Oryzias latipes: one gene and its partner. The protein of the gene in region 1 purifies or fractionates together with the protein of each later gene. This does not show direct contact. Links are inferred from orthologs where the notes say so. Each region holds a gene or a part of one and is shown on either strand. Other genes may lie near its edges.

Region 1 (9,038 bases):
TGTGGTGATGTAATGTGCAGAAAGAGCCACAAACGAGGAGTAGAAAGGCTCATATTGTTTGTCGTGGTGAAGAATGTCTGATTCACTGCAAAGGAAAAAAGAAACATAAGTTTGAAGGCTCAAATGTGAACTGCATCTTAAAAAAAAAAAAACACTGAAACAAACGCAGTACTTCAAGTTTGATCAGTATCTGCTGTACTAACCACATGAAATGACGAAAAAATGTTTTTATTCGATACAGGGACAGCGCATATTAATAAACATTCCTGCCTATATGCCAGAGTTATCCAATGGGCTATTTTTCATCTGCAGTCCCTAGGTAGATATAGACATGTAGTTACAATTTAGAAATATAACCCACACTGATGGCAAACCTGTTTTCAGAGGGGAATGTTATTGAAAAAATAAATTCATCATTTTAACTCCTATTGTAATCTGTACATTAAACTCTACAAAACCAACTTTCTTTCATGTAACACAGTTAATTTTCACACAATAGCTTTTCTTAAAGTTGTGTTGGAAGAAAAAGTAAAAAAAGAATAATAATAATAATAATAAATTCAATAAACCACTTTTGTTCCTAAAGGAACAATTCCATTTGAATGAAGTCATGCTTAACTTGACGATTTTATCATTTTAATATGCATTGTGAATGGGTCTGGGTCAATTAAATGCGATCATTTAGTAAAAGACGAGTATCATCATCGAATTACTGAATTACATTGATTTAATTCACCATTTTAAAATGTCTAATTCAATAGGATTTACTTCAATATTGGTTCATTTGTCAAACTTTCATTATAAAACAAAATCGCTTTAGTTATTAAATAAAACCTTTTGCCAAAATAAGTGATTTTAAATGATGAAATATGTTAATATAATTTAGAAAATGAAAATTTTCTAAATTATATTATATTTTCCTGAGAAGTAGAAATGATATTTTCCTGAGAGGTAGAAACTAATTAGAAAAGTCAATTTATGGATGTAACGTATCAACATTGCATTATCAAAATAAAGACTGATATTAGGCCTGCACAATATACCGCAAATTTATCGTTATCGCAACATCAAGCTGTGCAATATGCATACCGCAAAATATGTCAAAAATCGCAATAAATGGTTACCTTAAATGTGCTAAAACAAACTCATGGCAGCTTGAAATATTGATCAAATGAAATAAATCCCTTTATGCATTTAACCAATCGGAAGGACCCGTTTACGTTGTTGATCAATCAGATGAGCCCTTTTATGTTTGATGTTTGCCTCCTACTTCGACAAGGGTCATTTGGAGTATAATTTTTAAACTGTTGCAGTGAAATGGAAATTATGTTTTTGGTTGTTTTGCTATTTGTTTATATACCACAAATTATATCGTTATCGCAATATTAATCACCAATATCGCATATCGCAAGTTTTCCTCATATCGTGCAGCCCTAACTGATATTATTTATATATATATATATATATATATATATATATATATATATACACACTTTAATTTAACCTTTTTCCTTCAAGACAAAACTAAATCATACCTTTGTCTTAAGAACTATTGTTAGAGAAGTGAACCCCGATGCCAAAGTTTCGACTAAAACCAGAACATTCATCACTGCTGATCTTGAAACCGTTTACCAGCATATTTTCTCCTGACCTTGTCTTAGCATTATTTACTGCTGTTCTGAGTAAGGCCACCATCTTTTATGCCTCTGTAACCCCATTTAAATTGCATTTTTATATAAAATATGGCCTATTTTAGAGACCCAAAGCTACCCAAACATCACACTCAAAAAAAGGAGGAGCATAAAGAGTCTTTAACAGTTGAAGAGACTTTAAACTTCTGACCTATTGATCAGAAGAACAGCTACAGCTTATAGATAGATTTACACCTAAATAACACTGAAAGACATATGTTTCTTCATCACAAATGCAGTCACATAAGGTCACATAACAGCATTTTTAACTTGAAATTTGTGAGGATGATGAGAATTACCAGTATTACGAGTACTTCATTAAACAATTAAGAATACATTTTTTCTGCTATGGCTACCACATTCAATCTCTTTTAAGCCAAAAGTTAAATTTGTTAAATTATGAAAGAAAATCAATAAAGATCCGTTTATAGCGTGGGTTACTTCACCAAGTTAAACAAGCATGAAATGTGAGAGTCATACTTGTTGTCAAGCTTTTCTTTCTTTCACAAAAATCTTCAGAACTAACATTTTTTCCTTGACATACTGTAAAGCTAGATCTAAAAATAAGTTTTAACCCATCAATAAAAGACATTCATCAGTTCTATCCACTGCATGAAAACAGCAACCAAAAACATAGCAGGCTGCAGACTCACAATTTAACTTGCAAGCTAACAAGAAGCTCAGCTTGTTTTTCTTCTAAGTTTATTTAGTTTAAAGAACTTAGCAGATAAAAATTCACATTTAAATGTGTATCCACTTAAACCAATTTATAGTTATCACATAATAAAAAAGACTAGCTTGTTTGTCAACAAACACATTAACTGTGAGCATTCAAATTAATATGTAGCATTTCTGTAATTAAAGCAAACCTGGAGCAAAATTCAAAGTGAGGTTTACTTATATTACATTTTTTTATTGTTTCCATCATAATTGAAACATTGTTATGATGTTTCAAGTCTTATAAGGATGATGCTTTAAAGAAAAGACTTTAAAAGTCTCTTTAAGTACAGCTCGATTTAGTTCCATTTAACTTCATACTGCATAATCACCTGAGGCTTTACACAAACAGGCTTGATTGCTTTTCCTAACTAAAGAGGAAGACAAACATGTCTTAAGATAAGGGTTCTGTTTCTGTAATCGAAGATAAAGAAAGTAGATAAAAATAAATGATAAATGTAAGCTTAATGAAGTAAACCATTTGTTCAAATCTTGCCATTTGTTGGCAGCATGTTTCAAAGGAAAATGAAACTTAAACGTAATCATTATGGGAAGCTCTCCACTGGGTGTCATTAGCCCAGACGATTTGGGTATCAAGTAACTACTTGAATATCGTTTTAAGTACTATAAACCGAACAGCAATTAAGATCCAGCAAAGCTAAGATATTTGTTGTGTGATAACCTACAAATTGATCACTGACTAAAATTAAGTAAGAAGTTAGGTCCACGCCTACTTAACCCAAACATAACCATGCAACGATCGGGGTTCTAACTTTTAACCATCAGCTAATGCTTATTTCACGCATGACAGTCACAACGTTAACTCAATTTAGCAAGTTCGGTGCACAAACCGAATGTATTTGAGCTTTAACAAGTAAATCTATCCCTGATTGGCCAATTTTAGAGCTACGTATGTGAGGGCCCATGGTTAGCTAATACTGGAGTTAGCTAGCTAATGATGAAGCAATTTTTTTAAACCACCCAACAGCCACATCATAAAACGTTTATAAAGCAGCTGGGTTATTTTTAAAAATCATTCAGATTGCGAAAGGTCCCTGGGTCTTGTTAAGACATATAAAGTGAATAGTTATGCAACCCATGACAACATTAAAAAGTTAGCATACTTGCTACAGTCTGAAACGAACTCGATCACAGTGCAAGTTTCGGCGAGTGGACTACTAGCTGCTAACGTTAGCTCAGTGTTGTTTCCCATAGAACTACACTGTCAGTTAAGCTAAGTTAGCAAGACAGCTAGGTCTGGATAGTATTGGGGAGGTTAGGGACAAACAGGACATTTTTATTTTCTGACATGTAAACAGGTACCTGTTAATTATAGAGCCAATAAGCTGAGGAAGCTCCTTTGTTTCAAAAGCAGTATACGAAGCTGATAACAGCGGTCGTACTGCCGCTGTCCATTCGTGTTCCCCATCGCCTCCGCTTGACGCCATCTTGAAATATCATAGAAAAGCTAGCTGTGGCGGAAAGAGGTGTGAAAGTAAATTACAGGGGGCGCTCAACACAATCTGAAAGAACCTCCTCAAAAAATATTGATGTTTTTTTTTGTTTGTTTGTTTTTTAAAGAAAAGTATCATGTAAATCTCTCATAATAGTAAAGTAATTTTTTGTAAACATTTAAGAGGTAATTTTTTTTTGCTATGTTTGTGTAAAACACCCTAGAGATATGAAGAACTTTTATTCAATTTTATTTACTGCTTGCCAAAAAATTCATAGTGTACGCATAACAGATACTAATCATAGGTTCCCTTATATTTTAGTTTATTTATAATTTTTATTCGTTGGGATTTCATGGTTTTTAGATTTCACACACAATAGATTGGATGTTGTTTTTTTTATTTTAAAGTAGAATTTATATAACAATGATTAATAAATCTCACATTCAACATTTTGAAAAAACAATATATATTGTATTACTATTAATTACAATATTAATATTTAACTCGATTAAATATTTTACTTTTCAGGTATGTAATTAAGCATGGTCATTTAATAATGATTATACTACTACTACTACTACTACTACTACTAATGATAATAATAATAATAATAATAATAATAATAATAATAATAATAATAATAATAATAATAATAATAATAATAATAATAATAATAATAATAAAGATGCCTGTAGATGGCAGCCATTTGTTTGAAAGTCAAAGAAAAAACGGAAGTGACAACAACTTACTTCCTTTTCTTGCGGAAGCGCACTCAAACTGCTGCTGCAATGGCAAAGCTAATTTTGTTGTTGCTTAAATGTATACTTTTTTGTGGCACTGTTTATGCCGTGTTTGAGGATCAAGTTGGAAAATTTGATTGGTAAAATAAGTTAATACTTCAAAATAAGTATTTGTAATAATCTGTTAAAATGTTCGCTTCGATTTTCTGCTTTTATGTGCCAATGCTAATGCTAACATCTGTCAGGCATTGCTGCTGCGGCTCGGTGTGGGATTAACTCCTCAAAAGGATGCTTTAATTCCTTGTTTTAAGATTATTGTATTTCTGTAGCTGATTTATTGTCTTGTTTAAATAGACACACCTAATAGCCTAGCAAAAGTGATGTATGTTTTAAAGTATCTGACCATGGCAATGGAAAAAGTAATAGAACCACGAAAGTGGTGCCAAGGACACTTTGTCAGTCAAGGTTGCATTCATATTCATTAGTTCTTATGTGGCATTTAGCCTGAGAAAACTCATCTTGTTGAAGATTTAATTTTTAATATCTTATTCTTGTGTTGCACAGGAGGCAGCAGTATGTAGGCAAGGTTCGTTTTTGTCATTTTGATGCACATATGCAGTCATCCAAAAAAGTTCTACTAGCAACGGAGAGTAATGTTTTTGCTGCACTTAATACCAGGACAGGGGAAGTCTGTGAGTATTTTACTAGTCTGAAATTGATTAAGCCCATGATCAAAACTGACATGCTGAATGGAAAGACAAATTACTATTACAGTGTGGCGGCATGTGGACAAGACTGGCCCAGAGGGAAATATTGATGCTTTTCTGCAAAATGGGCAAGGTAAAGAAGTTCTATTTCAGAGATTTTAGTGTCTATGATCTTTAAAAATGTTTCTAACAGTTTTTTGGTTCCTTCCTAGACTCTGTTTTAGTGGTAGGCAATGGCCGCGTCCTGCGTTCCTGGGAGACCAATATTGGTGGTTTAAACTGGGAGGTTGTGCTTGACTCCGGCAGGTGAGTATTTCATTGACAGTCTGTGCAGTTATTGTATTATATACTTTGAACCTTTTTTTATTTTTTATTCTATTTTAAGCTTTCAGTCCACTCGTTTAGTAGGACAGCAAGGAACAGTTAAAAATGTTGCTGTTCTGAAGAAAACTGCCATCTCTCTTCATTACTTGTCTAATGGTCATCAAAAGTGGATTGAGAACCTTCCAGACAGGTAAAATATGATAAACTTACCAATCGGCAAAATTTGCTTCCATACAATCGTATTGTCAGTGACATGAATAAAACTTTTATGTATCTTTATGTTATAGAAACACACATTCTTTAAATACTGCACATTATGAGCATTGAAACTGTTTTGTAACCACCTGTGTTTTTATCTTGACAGTGATACTGTGGATTACCAAACGGTATACTCGGGTGGAAATGGGGAAGTTTATGTATTGGGAGTTGTTCCGCATTCCCACATTGCTGTTGTTGCTTTTAGTGTGGATGATGGAGAGATACTTAAGCAGGTATGATGCATAAAGTTGAAATTAATATAAGTAAAACAAGCCACCCATTGTTTTTACCTAATACTTGTTTTGGTTGCAGAGCTCAGTTGAAGCTCCTTGGCTGTCCAGTATACCAGAAAGCTGTCAAATAGTTGACCAAGAGATGTTGATCTGTGTAGATTCTACGACGATGTCCCTTTACACACTTGACTTAACCTTGCAGTTACAAATGAACCAGATTCCCTTACAGGTAAAAAATGTATACATATTTCTGCTTTGTGGAATTACTGTCCATTGCTCTTTTTCATCATTTAATCTCACTTACAAGAAATTTCACACTTTAAGACAATCATATTCTCCATGTGAAATTTGGCATTTGTTTTGTTTGTCTTTCCTCAGTCTCTGGAACTTGAAGTAGACCCGGACTTTCGTCCATCTTTAGTGTCACACCAGCCTAACCCGGCTAAGCAGCCACTGTCAGAGTTTTTTCTTCAGCTTGGACCTGATCGCTATGTTCTTCTCCAGTTCAACAGTGGGCAGATAGTGATGTTGAGGGATTTCAAACCAGTATGTAACGCTTTCTCCAAACAGCACTTTTCTATTTTGACTTTGAGATTGCAGAATGTGTGCTATTCACCTCGACTCCAGTACTTTAACCCTTTTTAAGCTTGCTTTCTTGAAAAATGACATTTTAAACAATAAAACAATTTAAAGGGAGTAAGACTTTGGGGTTGCTCTTAAAATGCTTTCATTTGAAGAGCAACCATCTATAATTGAACCAGAAAAATGATAGCCTTTGGAAAATGACATCCCATTCTGCACTGTGCACCACATTGTAAATAAGAAATTGTTCTTAATGTTTTGCCTGGTGAAATAAAAGTTTCTATTTACTGTGTAATAGTCGACCATAAATGTGCACTACTAAGCTTTGAGGACACATTGTGCTCTTAACTGCAGGATGCAATGCTTTTTAGTTCAAATTGTTTAAATATTTTTTCTTTCCTGGTTTAAATATCATTTTAACGAATAGTGTGTTATATGACTACGCTTGACTGGTCCTCTTATGACCAAGGTAGTCATGTAAAATTACTAACTGAAGTCATCCCCCTGTAAGTTTAAGTTTAAAGTTGCAATTTCTGTAATCAGCTTCATATTTATCTTTATTTTTAGGCCCTGCTTGTTTCGTTTGCAACGACTGGAGAAAAGACTGTTGCTGCTGTCATGTCACCGAAGAATAAAACTGTAAGTTCATGACAATTTAGAGCTTAAATGTTCATTACTGGATTTTGGGACTCAAATATGGAACCTAAAAATCATTAAACTGGTGGGATGAAAAAATCTGTAAGACTTTTTACATCATATTATTTTTTTGTGTTGAAACTGAGAACAGGTACAGTCAGGAGTACGGTAATTTTATGTAAGTGCTGTTGAGGTATTGTTTTTAATGTGCTATATTATGTTGCTCCTGCCACACAGGCCTCCACTATTAACCTCTATAATGCTGAAACTGGGCGCAGACTTCTTGACACCACATTGATTTTTACCATGGATCCTAATGGTGGGAAACCAGAGAGGGTGAGTCTGTAGGTCCAAATTGTTTTCTGCCGTGGCCTTATCATAGATTTTTAAAATTAGCAGTAACATTTAGATTAAAATACCGGATAAATTAATCAGTCCATTTGTTTTATTTCTGTTTTTCAGCTGAATATTCAAGCGTTTCTGAAGAAAGATGATTCTGTTGGCTACAGAGTGATGGTGCAGACCAAAGACCACGCGCTTACTTTCATACAGCAGCCAGGTATAAAGAAAAGCTAAGACAAAGATGACACCAAATATCAAAGAATGTTTTGGATTTGTTTCTACTTTATGTTTTCAATGACATTTAGCAACACAAAGACACAAACTGATAAATTTGGATTTTCAGAGCATCATGATGACACAGCATCTATTCATTAAAAAAAAAGTTTTTTAATGATATTTCATGTTGTGCTGGCTGAAAAAATGTGTTGTTGGACTCATCAATAAACAGTTAAAACACATTAACAGTTTTTTATAAAAGCATACATTTAGTCATACTTTTCGTATACTGTATGAAACAAATGTAATAGCAGAAATAGTTCTGGGATTTGGGGTTTTGTGCAACACTTCTACAAAAAAATTACTTTATTACACTTAACTTGACAGTTGATTAGGTTGGTGTTTATCAGAATTTCCAACAAATAAATGTGGAATCAAAGTTAAATCCTGAACAAAATGTACTAATTTCTTCAAGTCAGTTAAATAGGAGCTACCCACTCGTGGAAGTGTGTTAGGACGACTCAATCGTGCAATGAGCCTAACCTTGTGGCATTAATCTAGCCTTACACATAGGTTTTGCTGTCTTGTGCATAGCTAGAATCTTTTTGGATTCAGTTTTGTCTCGTTTTATTTTTGTATTGTTTCCCTTTTCAAGTAGATTGATGAGGCAGGGCATGGATAATTAACACCAACGCACATTTTTGGTGTCATTTCTGCCATGGTGCGGCACCAAAGTAGTGCCCTGCTGTTTTAATCACAGCTTTTCACAAGCTAATCTGATGTTTTAAACTGCTTTGTTAAAAACTGTTGTTTCCTTGAAGAAACTAGCTCAGTGATTGTTTATAGAGTTACATTACATGAGAGTTTTTGTCAGTGGAAGTCTCTCGGATGTTATGATGTCTGCTGCTATTCATTATCTCTTTCCGAAGAGCAAAGTTTTGCCTTGGTTTTACATTTTCACTGATACCACCTCTGAGTCATCAGATGTGCAGCTGACATCAAGCCTTTTTGTTAAATACAGATTCAGGTTTCATGATGTATTCAAAGCTGTATCCTTCCCACCCTCATGAAAATAGGAAATGTATAGGAAATGCCATCAGTGTGTTGTTGCTAAGAAGTGATAACAAAAAGCAGATTT
Region 2 (9,045 bases), on another chromosome or scaffold:
TCAATTATTCTGCAAACGCGACCATATAAGGCAGGCGTCTAACAATAAAGGGCTCCATCGCGTAAAATGCTCCGTTTGATTCTAGAAATATTCAAATCTGCGATGAATGAGGCTGTTTTAGCACGTGTTTAAACATTTATGGTAAACGCCATTAGCAGTTTACACCATCTTTGCCTATTTGCGTGTCGCATAGGCTGAGATCGTCATGACCGTCAATTGATGATCTATTTTGTGGGGCCTATAAAATATGGAGTAATATTTATGCCACGACGCAGATAAACTTTACCGTTTATCTGACAGTTTCATGAAATCAGCCATAAATTCACAAATCTGACTAAATAGGAAATAATCAATGCAAAATCAGAGGAAAAAGAAAGTGAATTATTTTTAAAATGATTAAAAATGACATTTTCTTAAATCAGAGAGACAAAATCGAGGGTAAACAGAGCTGGTAGCAGACGCCATGTTAGACAAATACGGTGATTTGATTGGTTAGAATCTGGACCAATCAGCAAATGTTTGATGGCAGCTTTGTCACGCTAAACTGAAACGTATAAGAGCAAAATCAAAGATAGGAAAAAAGCGAGATGAGTCACAACGCAAAACATTTGTGTCGCTAACGCATAAATATTTTTTTGAAAGCAAAATAAAATTGAAAGAAAAAAAATTAAAATTCCAAAAAAAAATTTTATGGCAGAATTTTTTTTGAAAAATCTAAAAGCAAATATTTAATATTTTCATTTGCAACTTAGAAAGTTTTGTTTGCAACGTGATGGCATAAATACCACTTCATGATAAAATAACTGCACAAAAATGATCTGATGATCAGAAAAACCAAACGTGAAAAAGAGGAAACCAGAACAACGCCGACCAACTGATCCATCAATAGCAGCAAACAATCTCAATAAATGGTCATTCCGCCGTGAGCAGAACACGCTCATACTGGACAGTCACCTGAAGACCAGGTTATCCTTTTCTTTGGAGAAATTCAAGGAGGATTTTGCAGGAAAAGGCCTCATTTCAGAGCCAAAGAATTCAGTCAAACAGTCTGAAAAATTTACCGATATCGCGATTCCAAGCTGTGCGATCTCCATATCGCAAAAGTCGGTGAAAAACGCAATAAATAGTAAACATTTTATGTGCTAAAACAATCTTATGGCAGCTTGAAGTATTTAACGAATCAAATCAATCCATTTATGCATTTGACCAATCAGATGGAGCTTTAATGTAGGTTGTTGCCCTCCTAATTAGACGAGGGTCGTTTGGAGAATAATTGAAGGTATTTTGACTCTAATTTAAGTTAAACTTATGCAGTGAAATGGAAATGTTTTTCTGGTTTTTTTATATTTGTTCATTTATCACAAGTTATATCACTAAAATTGCATTTTGCGAGTTTTCCTCATATCCTGCAGCCCCTGTCTGAATGAGAAGGATGGCTTCTGCATCCTCTCCAATTCATTTTTCATGTTTTCTACAGTTTGACTGGGTGTCTGCGTCTGGTCCCGTCTGCGTCTGCGTCTGGTCCCATCTGCGTCTGGTCCCGTCTGCGTCTGGTCCCGTCTGCGTCTGGTCCCGTCTGCGTCTGGTCCCGTCTGCGTCTGGTCCCGTCTGCGTCTGGTCCCGTCTGCGTCTGGTCCCGTCTGCGTCTGGTCCCGCCTGCGTCTGGTCCCGTCTGCGTCTGGTCCTGTCTGCGTCTGGTCCCGTCTCTGTCTGCGTCTGGTTCCGTCTGCGTCTGCGTCTGGTCCCGTCTGCGTTTCTGGCCTCCTCTCTGCACACGATCCGCCTCGTCTTTGCCTTTTTGACTAATGAAACTTTAAATAGATCATGTGCCTTCAACGCTAAACCTCACGCTGGTGTTTCAGCCAAACTTTCTTCCTGTTTGCTGATCAAAAACACTTTTTTTTTTTTGCTTGAGCAAAGGCCTGGCTGCGACGGCGCCTCTGCGGCCAGACGCTTCCGTCTTGTGGATGTTCTGTGGAATGTGTCAGATGAAGCAGACGGAAGGTTTTCCTCTTTCCTTTCTGTTGCTTCTCATCAAATCAGCTGAAACTCAACCAAAGATGCTCACAAGTCACTTTTTCCCAGCGAGTTGTGGTTAAAATGAGCCTCTTCTTAGACGCAAATTGCACGTTGAAAAACAAGCACAAGAAAACACATTTAGCTTTTCTGCACTAAAAGGTTGTTGTTGTTCTTTTGTCCCAGAGGTATAAATAAAAACCAAAAAAAGTGAGCATTGATCACAAGTCTCCCTGCATGAGAGACTCAAGTCTCTGCTGAAAACAGCTGGCAGGAAATCTATTTATGACTGAATTTGAAACTTCTTTATTTGGAAAAATGACCATTAAAGTGGTGAACTAACGCCGAATGTGCAGAAACAAACCAAAACACTGACATAAATCACATGTTATGGATTAAAGTAACTCTATGTTTAAAGTTATTCCCTGATTATTCGATCGTTTTCATAAACTTTTGTGAAAAACCTAAAGTTCCACCCCAGCAGAAATGCTGTCGACTCGTCCACTAAGTAACGGCTCCAGACGCCGGTGTGGAACTTCACTGAACGCCCGGACAACAGCGGCTCCTCTGCCCTCGGGCTGTTCCAGAACCGTCGGTCCGGTTGGGTTCGACTACCGAGCAGATCCGTGAATCTGGGTTCACTCCAACGTCCCTGCCTGCGCTTAAATTGTGTCCCAAACAAGCCTCTCTTACCTCCGAGATGTCATTTTTTTCCCCCTCCTCACTTCCTCGCTGGCAGCTAGCGCTAGCTTCAACTAGCTAGCTAGGGTTTCCGATCGTTCCCGCCTTGATCAATCAATAAAGTGCTTCATCGGTGAACAGAGAAACCCGATCACAACGGGCACTAGAAACTACTTAAGCATCCGCAGAAACGTGAATGGCCGTCCGCTTCGGGGGGAAATGTCCGTAGGCCTCGGTCCGGAGACTTCACGGCAACTATTGGACGTCACCAAACATGCGACAAAACAGAGAACGCGGATCTGGACACCTGGAGCTCCCGTTTCTCGACGCGCTTCGCCCTGGCGGAAGTAACCGGTTTGACGGGAAGAGCTCCCCTCAACCGGCATAAAGCGGGACATAAATTAAGCTAACCCCAAAGTCTTACTACGAGAGTACTTGCAGGATGTAATGCTAAAGTTTGTGTCTTGTTTTTGTTTTCTTATATACATATATTATTTTCCAGATCTTTTAAAAAAAACATCTGGAATATTATGACGACTTTTGAACGTCCAAATGTCACAATTCTATTTAAAAAAATACTTTTTTGGGAGGTTAAAACATTTTTCCATGATTTAAATCAGACACCATTATTATCCTTGCAAAGACAATAAGGTACACTTCTGAAATAAAATTATTTTATTTTACTCAATAAATTATAATTTGACGGAAGCTGTGCCAAAAATATTTGAATTGTCTTGCTTCTTAACCTTCAGAAAGTTTATTTTTATCCTTTTGTGAAGAAAGCAGCAATTTCACAAACTCCATATATTCAGTGAATCCTTAGATTTTACTGACAAAGATTCCAGCAATACGATAATTTATCCAAAAACGTTGATAGGTGGATTATTCCTGAAGCAAATAATCCCAGAACAATGTGTCTTAGTAAAATATATATATATATATATATATATATATATATATATATATATATATATATATATATATATATATATATATATATATTTATATGTACAGAGTTTTAAAACCAGTTTCCTTACTGTATCTTTCTTTAAAAGATGAAATTTTATACTGAATCCTCAAAAATAATTATTGAAACACCACTTTGTGTGTCCAGCTTTTCCTGCAGTTTGACCAACAAATAAATACATTTTCCTTGACACAACTGTGAAAACCAAGAATGTGCACAAAAACAGTCGCACGACACTGAACTTTTGAACACAAAAATACATTTACAAAACATGCACATGCATTAAATTGGATAAACTCTGAAGATTTTTTTTTTTCTGGAGACATGCTAAAGTGAGTCAAAGCCTACATTATAAATCAAAATATTTTCAATAATGGATTTATGATAAATTAATTATATTTATCCACCACAATTGACTTTAGACTTCAGTTTGAGTCATTATAAAAAGACGAAATTATAGAAACCGTTAAGAAGAATTAGAGAAATACAAAGCAAACACGTGGATGTACTGATGTAAAAGATGTACAATTTAAAAGACATAAAAATATTTTTTATACTTTCAAATGCCTCAAAGATAACTCACACCATATGGTTTTCAAGGATTATTGAGGGAAAAACTTCAGACAACTACTACTGAATCTTTACATGTATTTTCTGAAGATATACTTTAATTAATTGTTTTTTATAAGAATGCGCAGAAAGCCAGGTTCGACTTTAGAAATCTTTTTTTTTTTTTTTTTACGGACCGCTTTTCTTAAGTTTGTCCCTCTCGAGCTGCTGTCCTGTAAGCCCTTACGTGGCAGTCTCAGAGCGGTGTACAGCAGCCGAGGCTGGTGCAGCTCCTTTCCTGCGGAGCCTCTCTTCCTCCACGTACCTCCATCCTGCAGGATTCTCCTCGGAAAAGAGGGCCGGACAGTCCGGACGCGTCTTTCTCTGCCTGAAACATGTTTACCGCCTCGGAGCTGGTCGTCCTGCTGGCCGTCCTGACGGCCACCGCGTCCGGCTACTTCGTTAGCATAGACGCCCATGCCGAAGAGTGCTTCTATGAGCGGGTGAACTCCGGCACCAAGATGGGCCTCATGTTCGAGGTGGCAGAAGGAGGCTTTCTGGACATCGACGTCGAGGTGAAACATTTAATTGACGCAATGTATCAACACAAAATGTATTTTTTATTTTGAGTTGTTCCTGTAAATCTTTCGAGGTTAAACGGGGCCTATGCTAATGCTAGCGGTTAGCCTTTAGCTGTCTGTCCACGTAATGTCAACTTGATGCTAGGTAGCGCTGGATTTGTGGCCTTTAACTTGATGTTAGAAACGTTTGACCTAAATATTAACAATAATAACGTTTTCCTGGATCATTTGAAGACAGTTTATACACAGAAGTTATGGCATTTATAACTTTAGCATTGCGTTAGAGATGCTAACTGTTACAAATTAAAGTTGTGCAACATTATTTAACATTTTGTGATTTGTCGACTTAATGTTCAGATAGTTGACACACAAAGCTGGTGTTCTGACTCACTTTCTGCCATATGGTTTGTTAAATATTCAATGTGTCTAAATACAAACTTTTTATGTAAAACCCGTAAACTATAGGAAATAAAACCATTTTATCAGGTTTTAAAACCGTAAAGAAGAGGTATTGAAATGTGAATTATGGTGAAGCAAAAACACAGGTGTCTGCATTGTGATGAGTCATCTTTTACACTTATCACCACTTTTTTGATAACACGCTTTCTGCTGTGGTCTAAAGAAACTGCATATTCAGTATCTAAACATATTCAGTGGAGTTCAATTTAGTGTTTAAATGTATTAAACTGATTTTACTAATGTTGTGACAGTAAAGTTTATCTTCTGGCATTTCCAGAGTGCTTCAGTTGATTGTGTCTAAATACAAAAAATTCCAAACTGGGGCTTTCAGATAAGAAACCTCTCTGATGCTGCAATAGATCTATTTAAAACGATTGTGTTCATGTTCAACCACCTGTGTTTCAATTAACAACTCAAACAGGGCCATATGGTCTTTAAAGTTCCGCTCCAATCATCTTTTAATCTATTTTCAAGGCCTTTTGATTATGATGATGCAGTTTTTAGCCAAAACCTAAAAATTTGTTTAGGACATACTTTCTGCAGAGCGGCAGGAGGTCATTAGAAATTCACTTCTTGAGCTGTTGGTGCAGAACAAGCCAGCAACCCCTTCCCTTACTTTGTTTACATGCTCCCCTGCTAGCTTACAGCCCCTCACACCCCCAACCTAACATTAGCGTAGCAAAGAAATGGCAGCAACATCAGATCCATCCGTCCGTCCAGTTCTGATCCAGATTCCAGCTCAGACCAGGAAAACAAAGACAATCATGGATTTAAGCTGAATTTTCTGTTTGTCCTCCACGTCAAAAACGCCATTTTCATCAGAGGGGGCCTTCAAACTTAATGTCCGCTGCCTCCCTCTGTAGCAAATGGAAAGTAAATAAAGTTCTACCTGTTTCAGAGATACAGTTTACAATTTTTTTTAATTTCGTAGAGCGACAGGATAGAAATCAGCAGATTGTCTCGGTTCAACTGAATAGAAGAAGTGAAGCGTGACTGAAAGTGTTTAAACATCAGATGGAAAATCTGACACGAGCTCTGTAAACACTCAGGAGGCCATAATGATTTCACCTCTTTAATGCTTTTCTCTATTGTAGAACATGTCAAGGAGGAAGTTTTGGATTTTTTTTTTAGATGTTGATATAAAAAGCCTTGTTTTGATATTTGTTGATCTTAACTTTATCCTTTTTCCGTCACTAAAAGAAAAGTTTTTGTTTTTCTAAATAAATGCATAAATCGACTATTAACACAATTTCCATCATGAAGCTATATATATGTATGTATATGTGTGTGTGTATATGTATGTATATATATATATATATATATATATATATATATATATATATATATATTTACTTTGAGCTAAACTGACGTTGTTTGTATCTGGGTAGGTGGTCTAATCATTAATCCGGGTCTTCAAAAACAGGTTTTCAAGAAAAGATGCTGTGCTTCGTGTGCAGAATTTACCTGCTGCCATCAACTGGACACTGGTATCTTATCAAAAATGGTTTCCTTATTCCGTTGGTAGATAATGGGGCCTGACGGGAAGCAGATCTACAAAGGGGACCGGGAGTCCAGCGGGAAGTACTCTGTGGCTGCTCACATGGACGGAACCTACAAGTTCTGCTTCAGCAACAAGATGTCCACCATGACGCCCAAGATCGTCATGTTCACCATCGACATCGGAGAGGCTCCCAAAGGCCAGAACATGGAGACTGAAGGTGTGCTGAGCGTTCTCTCTGATCCGCGCCTCACGCGTTGCTCTTATGCTCCGTTCGTTCTGACGGCCTTTGCTCTCCTGTAGGTGCCAACAGCTGGGACGGTAGGGATCAGGCAGCCTGTGATGCACTGTGGCGTTTTTTTTGTAAATCTAACCGGTTCTGCAGTTTAAACTAACAAGCATCTGGTCCTTTTAGACAGCGTGTCGTCCCGGCACGTGCATCAGACGTGTGAAAGTGCCGTGCATGGGTTTTGTGCACGAGTTGAGTGCAGGCGACGTGGTGACACCTTCTTTTGTTTTTCTGCCTGTTCCAGCTCATCAGAACAAGCTGGAGGAGATGATCAACGAGCTGGCTGTTGCCATGACAGCGGTCAAGCATGAGCAGGAGTACATGGAGGTCCGCGAGAGGATACACAGAGCGAGTACGTGCCCAGAAAGACGTGCCTCCAACGCTGGAAGTGCATCTGAAATGAATCGTTGTGTTCTTTTTCTCCTCAGTCAATGACAACACGAACAGCAGGGTGGTCCTGTGGTCCTTCTTTGAAGCTCTGGTCCTGGTCGCCATGACGCTCGGACAAATTTACTACCTGAAGAGATTTTTTGAAGTGCGACGAGTCGTGTAGAGCGATTTCCACAATCCCTCCCTGTGTTCCTCTACTGTTTTTTTTTGTTTTGTTTTTGACACCAAGACCGTAATTTACTCTCTGGAAAAGAGACTGGCTGGAAGTTTTCTTCTCCTGTTTGCTTCCTTTTGTAAAAAACAGATGGTTGAAGGACTCTGCCATAAATGTGGGTCTTTTTTTTTTTAACAGATTTTTATTGTCCATATCTGTTGGAGAGTTTTAGTCCAGCTGAAGCAGAAAAGGGGCTTTTCATTTTCAGTCATTGTAGTCAAAAATGAGAAACTCCAAGGGAAGGAATGGCTGTGAGAAGGTTTTATTCCCCTTAGAAGATGCCCCCGGTTGTGTTTTCTGTCATCTGTTGTGTTCATGCTGTCGAACAACAAATTGCACTCCTGATGTAAAAATGTCTGAGGGATTCTTCTCTGGACGGGAAGCTCCACCTCCTCCCTTATCTGAAGGCGGGACTTCGAGGAACGTCTCTCACCTCCCGCCGTCTTCAGATGTTTGCGTCAGGCTCGACGTTCATTCTTTCGTTTTTAAAACCTCGACTTTGACGCCTCCAGCTCGAGCAGAACCGGGTCAGAACGGTACGGTTTGGCTCTGCAGCAGAGGAAAGTCCACGTTACATGTCGAGGTTCTTCTGGGCGGGTCGAGGGGGGGGGGGGGGTGTTCAACACTGCTGTGTGCTTTTTGTTGCATCTATATTTCTGTCAGGTTTGGGGTTGAACATTAAAAACTTTGAATGCAGTTCTGGGCGTGTGATTTCCTGCAGCAGGTCTGGTGGCGTGCAGCCGTCCAGCTGGAGCCTTCTCACCAGCTGCATGTCCCTCATCAGGCTTCGGTTTTGTAATAAAGATGTGATCAACCAGATCCGTGACGTAGCTCTGTACAAACAGACTGGTTCAACTGAAAATCCCCAGATTTCATAATAAAGCCGATATTCTGTACGATTCTCTGATGTGTTTGTGGGCCCGTCTGTCAGGACACTGCCATAAGTCCCGGTCCGCAGGTCCATGGCGTGTTTATGGTTTCAGTGCACTAAACAGGGGGGGGGGCTTGTCTGGGGGTCCAAATCCAAAATTCAGTGACTTGGAAAGAGGTCTGCAAAAGAGTGCATTGTTGCCCTCAAGACTGGCAACAACGGCATTGATTTGAAACGTTAATGATCCAAGTTTTCCTCATCCGAACACAATGGATTCATCAATGGTCTTCATAAAACCATATTTATTAGATTTTACTTTGACAAATGGGAAACGTCGTGGTTCAAAAAAGGTTCAAATTGTGTTAAAATCCAGGATGCTAGATAGTCCCACTCTGTATAGTGTTTAAGTGGCTTAGTGACGGAATTTGAACCACTGACTGACCACGGCGTTCCAAACAGGAAGTGGCTCCAAAGCCAAAATCCCATGACTTACGCCGGCAGAAGAACCATTCTGGATCTGATTTTTTTTA

What was found.
Region 2: the proteins of emc1 (region 1) and transmembrane emp24 domain-containing protein 2 purify together in Homo sapiens (affinity purification with mass spectrometry; 3 studies listed by BioGRID and IntAct, with this or other methods). This does not show direct contact. The link is inferred for Oryzias latipes from reciprocal best matches to the Homo sapiens genes EMC1 and TMED2.

Annotation. Positions count from the first base shown.
Region 1 is NC_019865.2:7,723,836-7,732,873, forward strand, and holds the start of emc1 (ER membrane protein complex subunit 1), read left to right. Parts: upstream 1-4,610; 5' UTR 4,611-4,650; coding exon 4,651-4,742; intron 4,743-5,166; coding exon 5,167-5,294; intron 5,295-5,376; coding exon 5,377-5,442; intron 5,443-5,521; coding exon 5,522-5,615; intron 5,616-5,694; coding exon 5,695-5,823; intron 5,824-5,997; coding exon 5,998-6,124; intron 6,125-6,203; coding exon 6,204-6,353; intron 6,354-6,502; coding exon 6,503-6,670; intron 6,671-7,273; coding exon 7,274-7,345; intron 7,346-7,579; coding exon 7,580-7,678; intron 7,679-7,804; coding exon 7,805-7,901; intron 7,902-9,038. Other genes in the region: E3 ubiquitin-protein ligase UBR4, read right to left, coding at 1-85, 3,732-3,856. UniProt on the Homo sapiens protein: Part of the endoplasmic reticulum membrane protein complex (EMC) that enables the energy-independent insertion into endoplasmic reticulum membranes of newly synthesized membrane proteins.
Region 2 is NC_019870.2:1,422,938-1,431,982, forward strand, and holds transmembrane emp24 domain-containing protein 2, read left to right. Parts: upstream 1-4,474; 5' UTR 4,475-4,608; coding exon 4,609-4,788; intron 4,789-6,778; coding exon 6,779-6,971; intron 6,972-7,054; coding exon 7,055-7,072; intron 7,073-7,284; coding exon 7,285-7,392; intron 7,393-7,468; coding exon 7,469-7,593; 3' UTR 7,594-8,545; downstream 8,546-9,045. Other genes in the region: ptpn11 (tyrosine-protein phosphatase non-receptor type 11), read right to left, coding at 2,710-2,723. UniProt on the Homo sapiens protein: Involved in vesicular protein trafficking. Mainly functions in the early secretory pathway but also in post-Golgi membranes.